Ovis aries: one gene and its partner. Each later gene encodes a partner of the first gene's protein in a complex. Links are inferred from orthologs where the notes say so. Each region holds a gene or a part of one and is shown on either strand. Other genes may lie near its edges. The genes, in order: BCL2L1 and BAD.

Region 1 (4,280 bases):
GTCTAGGGGGCGCCCCTGAGGGAGAGCGGTTGCCTAGCAACGGGGCGGTGGCCAGGCGGGTACCCGGCCTAGCGCGCGGAGGAAGCCGCGAGGCCGCAGCCCACCCACCCCGGCCTCTAGAGAGGTGCAACCCCGGGCCCCTAAGCTCCCGGGGGTGCCAAGAAGCCAGCCTGGGCCTGTCCCCAGGAAAACGTAGTCTCAGCTGTGGGGGGTCTCGAGCAGGCCTCGACCCTTGTCTCTGACCGGTGGAGAGGCTCGGCGCCTCACCCTCGCCCGGTCTTTGTGCAGGGCGCCGGCGGCCATTGTGTCCGTGCGGGGAATGGAGGACCCGGCAATCCCCCACTGCCACCGCCACTACCAGGGCCTTTGGGGAATTCAAAGAAAGCCAGCGGCGTTTCTGGGGGGTCTCCGGCTTTCAGCCTCCCAGAAAGGCCCGGGGATGGCCTTTCCAAACTCAGACCGCAGATCCAAGGCAGTGTTCCCCTCCCTCTGTTTCTCATCGAAACCTTGAGCCCCATCGAGAAGTCCCTTCAAGGTTTCTTCGGAAGCCTCACCCAGGGCTGATACTGAAATAGAAAAAAAAAAAAAAAAAAACTAAAGCTCACACCAGCCACCTCCGAGAGAGTTCTCCTAGCTCCCAGTAGGAGGCGGAGAGCCAAGGGGCGTGCAAGAGCGAGGGGGCTGGGCTCCCGGGTGGCAGGAGGCCGCGGCAGCGGCCGCCCTCGATCGGGGCGATGGAGGAGGAAGCAAGCGAGGGGGCCGGTTCTTGAGCTTCGTAATTCCTGTGTCGCCTCCTGAGCTCTCAGTTCGCCGGGTCGCATGATCCCTCCAGCCGGAGCTGCTTTTTTTGCCAGCCGCCGCCGCGAGGCCGGTTGACTTACCGGCATCCCCGCTGCCACCTCCTCTCCCACCTATGATACAAAAGATCTTCCGGGGGCTGCACCTGCCTGCCGTCGCCTGAGACGGATTTGAATGTAGGTGGTGAGGGTTTATGGGGGTGGGGGGCAGACTGCCCATGGGGGTGACTTTTCGAGGAAGACATTTCAGAGAAAAGGGGGTGGCTGGGATAAAAGGGGAGGAAAAAAAGGCCGGTGTGATGATTCAGAGCCCACTGGTGCTTTCAAATTGACTTCATCGAAGTACCTGGGAAGCTAGACCCATATCTTCATAAGAGCGGCAGAGAACCCAGTTCAAGTACCTGGAGTGGGGAATGGGATATTGTAGGTAAATGGCTTGCATATTCATTTTTTCCCCCCTGAAGCTCTTTCTTTCCCTTCAGAACCTTGTCTTGCCTTTGGATCTTCGAAGAGAACCACTAAGCAGAGACCAGACCCAGTGAGTGAGCAGGTGTTTTGGACAATGGACTGGTGGAGCCCATCCTTATTATAAAAATGTCTCAGAGCAACCGGGAGCTGGTGGTTGACTTTCTCTCTTACAAGCTTTCCCAGAAAGGATACAGCTGGAGTCAGTTTAGTGATGTGGAAGAGAACAGAACTGAGGCCCCAGAAGGGACAGAATCAGATATGGAAACCCCCAGTGCCATCAATGGCAACCCATCTTGGCACCTGGCGGATAGCCCTGCGGTGAATGGAGCCACCGGCCACAGCAGAAGCTTGGATGCCCGGGAAGTGATCCCCATGGCAGCGGTGAAGCAAGCCCTGAGGGAGGCAGGCGATGAGTTTGAACTGAGGTACCGACGGGCATTCAGCGACCTGACGTCCCAGCTCCACATCACCCCAGGGACAGCATATCAGAGCTTTGAACAGGTAGTGAATGAACTCTTCCGGGACGGGGTGAACTGGGGTCGCATTGTGGCCTTTTTCTCCTTCGGTGGGGCACTGTGCGTGGAAAGCGTAGACAAGGAGATGCAGGTATTGGTGAGTCGGATCGCAACTTGGATGGCTACTTACCTGAATGACCACCTAGAGCCTTGGATCCAGGAGAACGGCGGCTGGGTAAGAACCACGCCCCTTATGTATTCCTTTTCCTTGGCTTCTGGTCAAATCCCCAACAACCTTTCCCCTGTGTCTGTTGTGCTGGGTGATTATTATTGTTTGTTAAGGAGACATAACTGGCCTCTTTGTATCACAGAGGTTAACTTCTGAAATACAGATGACCTAGTTCTGTGAGGACCAGACATCTTCATTCTGGTCTTCCTCGTGACCCTACTCTGTCATACTTGTGTTCCAGTTTCTCTGCAGAAGATAACATAGCCTGTGTGTTCATTTGGCCCCAAACCTTTGAGAATGCAAAGGTAACAGGTTACCCCTCACCCTGACATAATGGCTCACAACGTTAAGGGGTGATGAGTGGAATGCCTGGAGAAGATAGTGAATATCAGTGACCCACCAGCCCCTTCAGTCTTACTCCCTTGAGCTGTCAATCCTGTCCTGGGCTTCCCTCCTCCAAATCAGGTTCCCCTTATTTCAGAGTTTGCATGGCCTGGCTTTGCATCCCTCTGGATGGCTGAGGATTGTCTGATTTTAGGTTGTAAGCTGCGCCAATGGGCCAGTTGTGTTTGTGCTGTGCCCCATATTTATTGGCTCTAAAGTATGCGACTTTTCTGTGTGGTTGGCCAGTTTGCGGAGCGCTTGCTGTCAGCCCAGGGACTTTGCACCTCACTGCCTGGGTTGGTTGGGGAGCTCCAGCTGTTATGCTTGTCACTTTTCTGCCATGGCCCTGGGGCCTCTTCACTGAGCACTGTTTGCTGGCAATGCAAGAACCTGATCTTTGGGGCTCCTTGGGACATTGAGATTCAGTGACAGACTTCAGAAACAAACTGACACAGATGTGAGTCCCAGCCCTGTCACTTAACTAGGTGTGTGACCTTGGACAGGCCAGTTTACCTTGAGCCTCAGGTTCTTCCACTAAAAAAATGTGGCCAACCCTCTTGCCTTGCAGTCCTTGTAAATCTTGGAGCTGATGTGAGCATAGTGACAGGAAGTTTGCTCTAGTAGTTACTGTCAGATCCAGGTACACCTTCTGAAACTGAGTCGTGCCTCATTCCTTTGCCAGGGAAGAGAATTCCCTTGCCCTGATATCACCAAGTCAGGATGAGCTGGTGTGGAGGGATTCTTTACCTGTGGTCACTGTCAGCAGCTTTTGCTCTCTTGCAGTGAACTCAGTCATATCTCCTCGCTTATCTCCCTGCCTCAGGGAGGTGTAGGGCTTAAGAGAGGTATTCATTCTGTCCTTCAGAAAATTGAGCAGGCTGTGGAAAATAAGTCATCTATTGAAGGAGCTGAGGTGGAAAGGGCCACGCACCATGGACTCAGGAATGTTAAGAATGCAATTATCCAGAGGCTGGGCCTAGGGTGTGGCAGCCACTTCAGTTTACCACTGAGCAAGGGACCTCCAGGTACACCACCCCCTGTCTTATTTCCCATTTCTTTGCAACTTCATCAACTCTTCCCACTGCCAGTTCTTATAAAGAGCAGAGTAGAGGTCAGATGACCGGGGTGGGGCTGGGAAGGTAAAGGTGGAGGGCTTTCTTTGGCTCAGACTGACCCAACTTGAAAGCCTTTCAGTAAATGAACTCCCTGGGGGAATAAATGATTAAATAGTTCCTGTTGGTTTGTGTGATGACCTCTCTTTTTCCCTCCTGCTTTGATTTTCTTTAGGGGCAAATATTTGTTTAACTTACTACAGGAGGGACAGGATTCCAGCGTTTCTGACACACCCTCTGAGGCCTAAGTAGAGACTTGGGCCATTTGCCCCTCACTGTTATCTCTGGCTGGTGGTCCTAATTCCATGTGGGTTGTGGCCAACTGTTAACAAAAGGCAACATGGGAGAGGTTCCTGGCCTGCCAGCCAGTTGTCTAAGAGGGCCACCTGGACCAGAGAGTTGTTAGTCACCCAGTGTTGCGTGTGGAAAGAGGTCTTTGACACAGCAACACTGGGCAAGATCATTAGATCACCACTGGATTGACATTCCATCTTCTGCTGTCTCTTTGCCCAACAGCATACCATGTGTTACTTCCTCTTGGTGGACAGAGGGGATGTGTGCAGAAGAGCCAGTTATATCAGAACCGTTTCTGGGCACGTGTTCTTCCCGAGGCCAGGAGATAGAGAACATGTGACACTGGGATCCTTTGGGTAGAAGGTGCCGCCCACTTCCTCTCGGGGACCATTCTGTTTGAGCTGCACACTGGCTGCTGCAGTGGCATCTCATAACCTTCCTGGAGGCTGTGCCTGGGGGATCCATGAATGTAAGAATTACGGACCATTCCACTCGGATATGCTCTAAATTTAGCATCCTGGCAGGAAAGGAAAAGGAAATG
Region 2 (4,383 bases), on another chromosome or scaffold:
CTTTGAACACCACCTGGGGGCAGAGAGGCCCATTATTCTTTGGGGCCCTGGGGCTTGCTACCCCATGGGCCCACCCTCACCCATCACCATGGTTACCTGAGCAAAGTAGAGGTTCATGAGCGTCAGTGTGAAGAACTGCAGGCAGACAGGACAGCAGTAGAGAAGCCAGAAGGGCAGGGGCCCCAGGTGGTTGGCTCGGGGTGTGTCTCGAAAGTAGAAGGAGAAGAGGGTGGTACGCAGGGCAGCCCAGAGCAGACAGAGCGCCAGGAACACCGTCTGATAGCTGAGACGCTTGTGCCCATACAGGAGCACCAGCCAGAGCTGGGCATAGACGGAGAAGAAGAGCAGGGCATACAGGGTGGTGTAGGCTGCAGTCAGCCCCAGGGTCACGGCGGGCGGCAGCGCAGGTACCAGCCCAGCAGCAGGCACCAAGCCAGACAGGTTACTCTCCATGTCAGGGAGGGAGGCCTGAACCTGAAGACAGAGATGGAGGGGCCGGCAGGGGGCCAAGGAAATAAATACGGAGGGGTGGGAGTTGTAGGGTGCTCAGGCGGAAAGAAGTGGTGGTTGGCCGGGCCCTCCCGCCCTCGACAGAGGGCCCCTTGCCTTTGCGGGGCACAGGCAACCTGGGTCCCTCACTACGGGGTGTGGAAAAGACAGCTCTTCCTCTTCAGGGCACAGGCGGGTGGGGAAGTGGGGGGATGGGGGTGAAGAAGCCGAAGGAGTGGGGGTCCCTGGCCTCGGTCGCTGAAGTCGTCCCGGCAGGAGGGGGAGAGCCGGCCAACGCCAGTCTGTTCAGAGCAGCGGCCGCTGCTGGGGACGCTCAACGTCTGGCTCTCCCCCTCCCCAAACTGGAGGGCTCTCTCCCCTCCAACAATCCGGATGGGGAGGGCCTCTGCCTTCCGTCCTTGGATTCCGGACGCTGGCCCACCCCACCCCCCACTGCGTCCACTCTCCAACTGCGGGGGGGCGGGAGGAGGCCGACGCCCGGTCCTCAGGCCGCGGCTAGGGGAGCCGGCTCCGGTCGCTGGGACCCGGGGCTCCGGCTCCCCGGCTCCCGCTGCTCCGCCCCCTCCTGCGCCTGCGCGGCCGCCGTTCGCTACGCAAATTGCTCAGGGTCCAGTCCTGACTACGCAGGCCCGCGCCGCGCCCGGCGCGGAGCTGTTCGAGAATTGGCGCAACTTGCGCCACCGCCGGGTGCCAAGGGTTATAAGAGGCGGCGAGCGGCCTTGACTTTCCGGCTGCGCAGCATCCGGCCGGCGCCCTGGTGGGCATTGCCCAGAGCTACAGGCCCTCGCTTCCATGGGAAGCTGGCGATTCCCAGGCTTCTCTTCCCCATCCCCAAATCGAGATTGTGCCGCCCGACCTGGGGCGGTAACGACTTCCCTTCACTCGGTCTCTGAGGGAAACTTCCGCCCTCAGCCAAGATGGCCTCCGGGCCCCGCCCCCCGGGCCTTTACCCGCGGGGGCCCCCAGCGTCCCGCGCAAGCCCGCCCGCCCATTCTTTGGCTGGCTGCGTTTCCCGCTCACCTGGCCTGCCGCCTGCCAGGCGCGAGGTCTCCGCAAGTCCTATTGTCACCCTCCTAGGGGCCCCTTTCCCTTCTGCGCCGGGACAGTCATCCTGCCCCGGGTGGAGGCTCCCTCGCTTATCTCTAGTGCCCCCGAGTTGGTGCGGGGAGTGGCGCCCCTGACGCGGGCGGTGCGAGGTTTCCACCGCGAGGAGGAGGGAGGGGCGCTTCCCGAGCCGGTCACCCGGTTCGGATGGAGCAGTGACAACAGCAACAACAGTTGCCTCCGACGGCTGAACTTCGATTACGGCTTTGCAAAGTGCTTTCACCCACAGTAATCACCGCCCAGTTTACAAGGATCACTGACTCCTGAAAGAGGTGTCATTATCCCCATTTTACAGGAGTGGGAATTAAGTCCCAGAGGGGCTGAAGGATTTGTCAGCAGGAGCTGCCTTCCAAATGGGGACCCCGGAGAATCCCTCAGCGGCTCCCACAACGCCCAAGGCATAAGGAAGTCAGGAGCTGAGCATCCGGAGACGTAGAAGAGAATCAGAAGGAAGGCAGTGGGCGGGGCCCCGGGGAGTGGCCCCGCCTGCTGGCCAGCTAGTGACATCTCAAGAGCTGATTGGGCCGGGCCGGTGACAGTTTCCGTTACCCAGGCAACTAGGGCCGGGCTCTCTTTTTGCTAGAGGGACGCGGCGGGCCCGGGTCGGGGGCCTGGTTATCGGGCTTGGGGTGAGATCTGTGTGCCGTTACCGCGGGCGGGTCTGGCTGAAGCCTGGGCAGGGGCCTGAGGCTTCTCTCCAGCCCTAGAGCTCTGAGAGTTTTAGATCCTGGGTGGATAAGTCGAGCTTCTTGCCGGGCCAGACTCAACGGATAGATGTGCGCCAGGGAGGCAGGGTGGACCTGGGGTGCTGAGGTGGGAGAGGGAGCCAGGGACACCTGCGCCCCCAACCCTGCCAGCCACCCTTAGCTCCTGCTGTTCTCTAATTACTTGTCATCTTGCCCCCCTGCAGCCCAGAGCATGTTCCAGATCCCAGAGTTTGAGCAGAGTGAGCAGGAAGACTCCAGCCCTGCAGATAGGGGCCTGGGCCCCAGCCCCACAGGGGACAGGCCCCCAGGTCTCAGCAAGCACTGGCTAACAGCCCCGGGCCTCCTGGGGGAAGCTGGTCACCAGCAGGGGCAGCCGGCCGGCAGCAGCCACCATGGAGGTAGGCAACCCCCACCCCCCACCCAACAACCACCTGCCTGTCCAGCTTGCCTCCAGCCCAGTAGTTCTCTGCACCCCAGCCACATCCACATTCTGGGGGGCTTTGAGTAAGTCCCTCACCGCTCTGCACCTCAGTTTCCTCTTCTGTAAAACAGCAATTCATCACCACCCTGGTAGTGCTGTGGGAAAGATTAACAAGCATACCTTAGAAGCACTTAATTATAGAGCTGGTGTTTAGTAAATGCTCCAAGTATGTAGCTCTTAGCTTAGGACCAGGAGAGAATCACTGAGAGGCCAGAAAGGGGAAATGACTTGCCTAAGGTCACACTCACTTGGCATTTCCTTTGGGCTAGAAGATTCTGTGGTGCCTTACCTCAGGCTAGTGCTTTCCTTAAGATCTGGATCCAGTTCCCAGCTCTGTTCTTTCCCGCCCTGTGGCTCACACCCACACAGGGCTGTCCTTAACATTGCCAGGGCCAGGTAATCCCAAGAGGCAGATGGCCCTACCAGGCAGCAGGTCTGTGTGGGACTGGGAAAGCATCAGCTGTCCTCTGTATCTACTGAGGGAGACCCAGCGGAGATGGAAGGATGGGCCCTGGAGGGCAGCGGCCACGTCTTAGTAGTCCCTACCACCTGGGTGCCCAGTACAAGCCTTGGCACCTGGAACAACCACAGACATCTTCTGAAAACAAAACTCATGTCCCTTAACTGCTGCCAGTGTGACACCCTTCCATTTTCAGGAGCAGGAAGGCTTATTAATGCCCCCACCCCAGGGAGTTCCCTGGTGGTCCAGTGGTTAACGCTCAGTGCTTTCACTACCAAGGACCCCGGGGTTCAATGCCTGGTCAGGGAATTAGGATTACAGTTAAGAAAGAAAGAAAAAAGGTTGATATTCAGTTATTAGGGATACAATCTCTAAAAAAAAACAAAATTAAAAGAAAAAAGACCCCACCCCCACCACCCAGCCTGCTGTATGTCACACTGAACTCCACAGGCTTTAACTTCGAGATTTTTGCACTTGGAGTTCTTCTGCTTGAAACTTGCTTTCCACCCTGTATCTGGCTGTCCCCATCTTCTGTGTCAAGTGCTGAATGTGTGTACCAGCTGCCAGGGGTTCATCAGGGACTAGAAGAGAAGCTCTTGCCCTTGTGGTTGCCTACATTCTGGAAGATAGGGGGAGACAAGTCATAAACAAAGAAACAAACAAACTAGTCAGTGATACGGTACCTTAGCAGGTGATGCCTTAGGTGACATACCCTTGACTTTCTCTTTGGAATCCAGAGTGCTTGGGGGCTCGAGGGAGTGATTTGAACTGAGGTGGTCAGGGTGGGCCTTGGTGGTGGTGGTTTAGTTGCTAAGGCATGTCTGACTCTTGCGACACCATGGACTGTAGCCCTCCAGGCTCCTCTGTCCATGGATTTCCCAGGCAAGAATACTGGAGTGGATTGCCATTTCCTTCTCCAGGGGATCTTTCTGACCCAGGGATCGAACTCACGTCTCCTGCACTGCAGGTGATTCTTTACCAGCTGAGCTACTAGGGCCTTGGTAAGAAGCAACATTTGAGCCAAGGCTAGAATCTGATGAGGGCTGAGCCAGACAGAGATCTGTGGGAAGACAGATGCTGGCAGGGATGCCCGCAGACAGAGGGCAGTGTTAGTCACTCAA

The links.
Region 2: the proteins of BCL2L1 (region 1) and BAD are in contact, whole or in part, in a crystal structure (PDB 2BZW), measured with the Mus musculus proteins. The link is inferred for Ovis aries from reciprocal best matches to the Homo sapiens genes BCL2L1 and BAD. Residues at the interface, in NP_001276645.1 of Mus musculus: Ala93, Glu96, Phe97, Arg100, Tyr101, Arg103, Ala104, Phe105, Leu108, Gln111, Leu112, Gln121, Ser122, Gln125, Val126, Glu129, Leu130, Arg132, Asp133, Asn136, Trp137, Gly138, Arg139, Val141, Ala142, Phe146, Asp193, Leu194, Tyr195, Gly196; in NP_031548.1 of Mus musculus: Ala137, Leu141, Ala143, Ala144, Gln145, Tyr147, Gly148, Arg149, Leu151, Arg152, Met154, Ser155, Asp156, Glu157, Phe158, Glu159, Phe162, Lys163.

Annotation. Positions count from the first base shown.
Region 1 is NC_056066.1:60,937,077-60,941,356, reverse strand, and holds the start of BCL2L1 (bcl-2-like protein 1), read left to right. Parts: upstream 1-1,351; 5' UTR 1,352-1,391; coding exon 1,392-1,955; intron 1,956-4,280. UniProt on the Homo sapiens protein: Potent inhibitor of cell death. Inhibits activation of caspases. Appears to regulate cell death by blocking the voltage-dependent anion channel (VDAC) by binding to it and preventing the release of the caspase activator, CYC1, from the mitochondrial membrane.
Region 2 is NC_056074.1:39,033,979-39,038,361, reverse strand, and holds the start of BAD (bcl2-associated agonist of cell death), read left to right. Parts: upstream 1-1,458; 5' UTR 1,459-1,886; exon of another isoform or gene 1,887-2,524; 5' UTR 2,525-2,532; coding exon 2,533-2,719; exon of another isoform or gene 2,720-4,383. Other genes in the region: integral membrane protein GPR137, read right to left, coding at 1-13, 97-453. UniProt on the Homo sapiens protein: Promotes cell death. Successfully competes for the binding to Bcl-X(L), Bcl-2 and Bcl-W, thereby affecting the level of heterodimerization of these proteins with BAX. Can reverse the death repressor activity of Bcl-X(L), but not that of Bcl-2.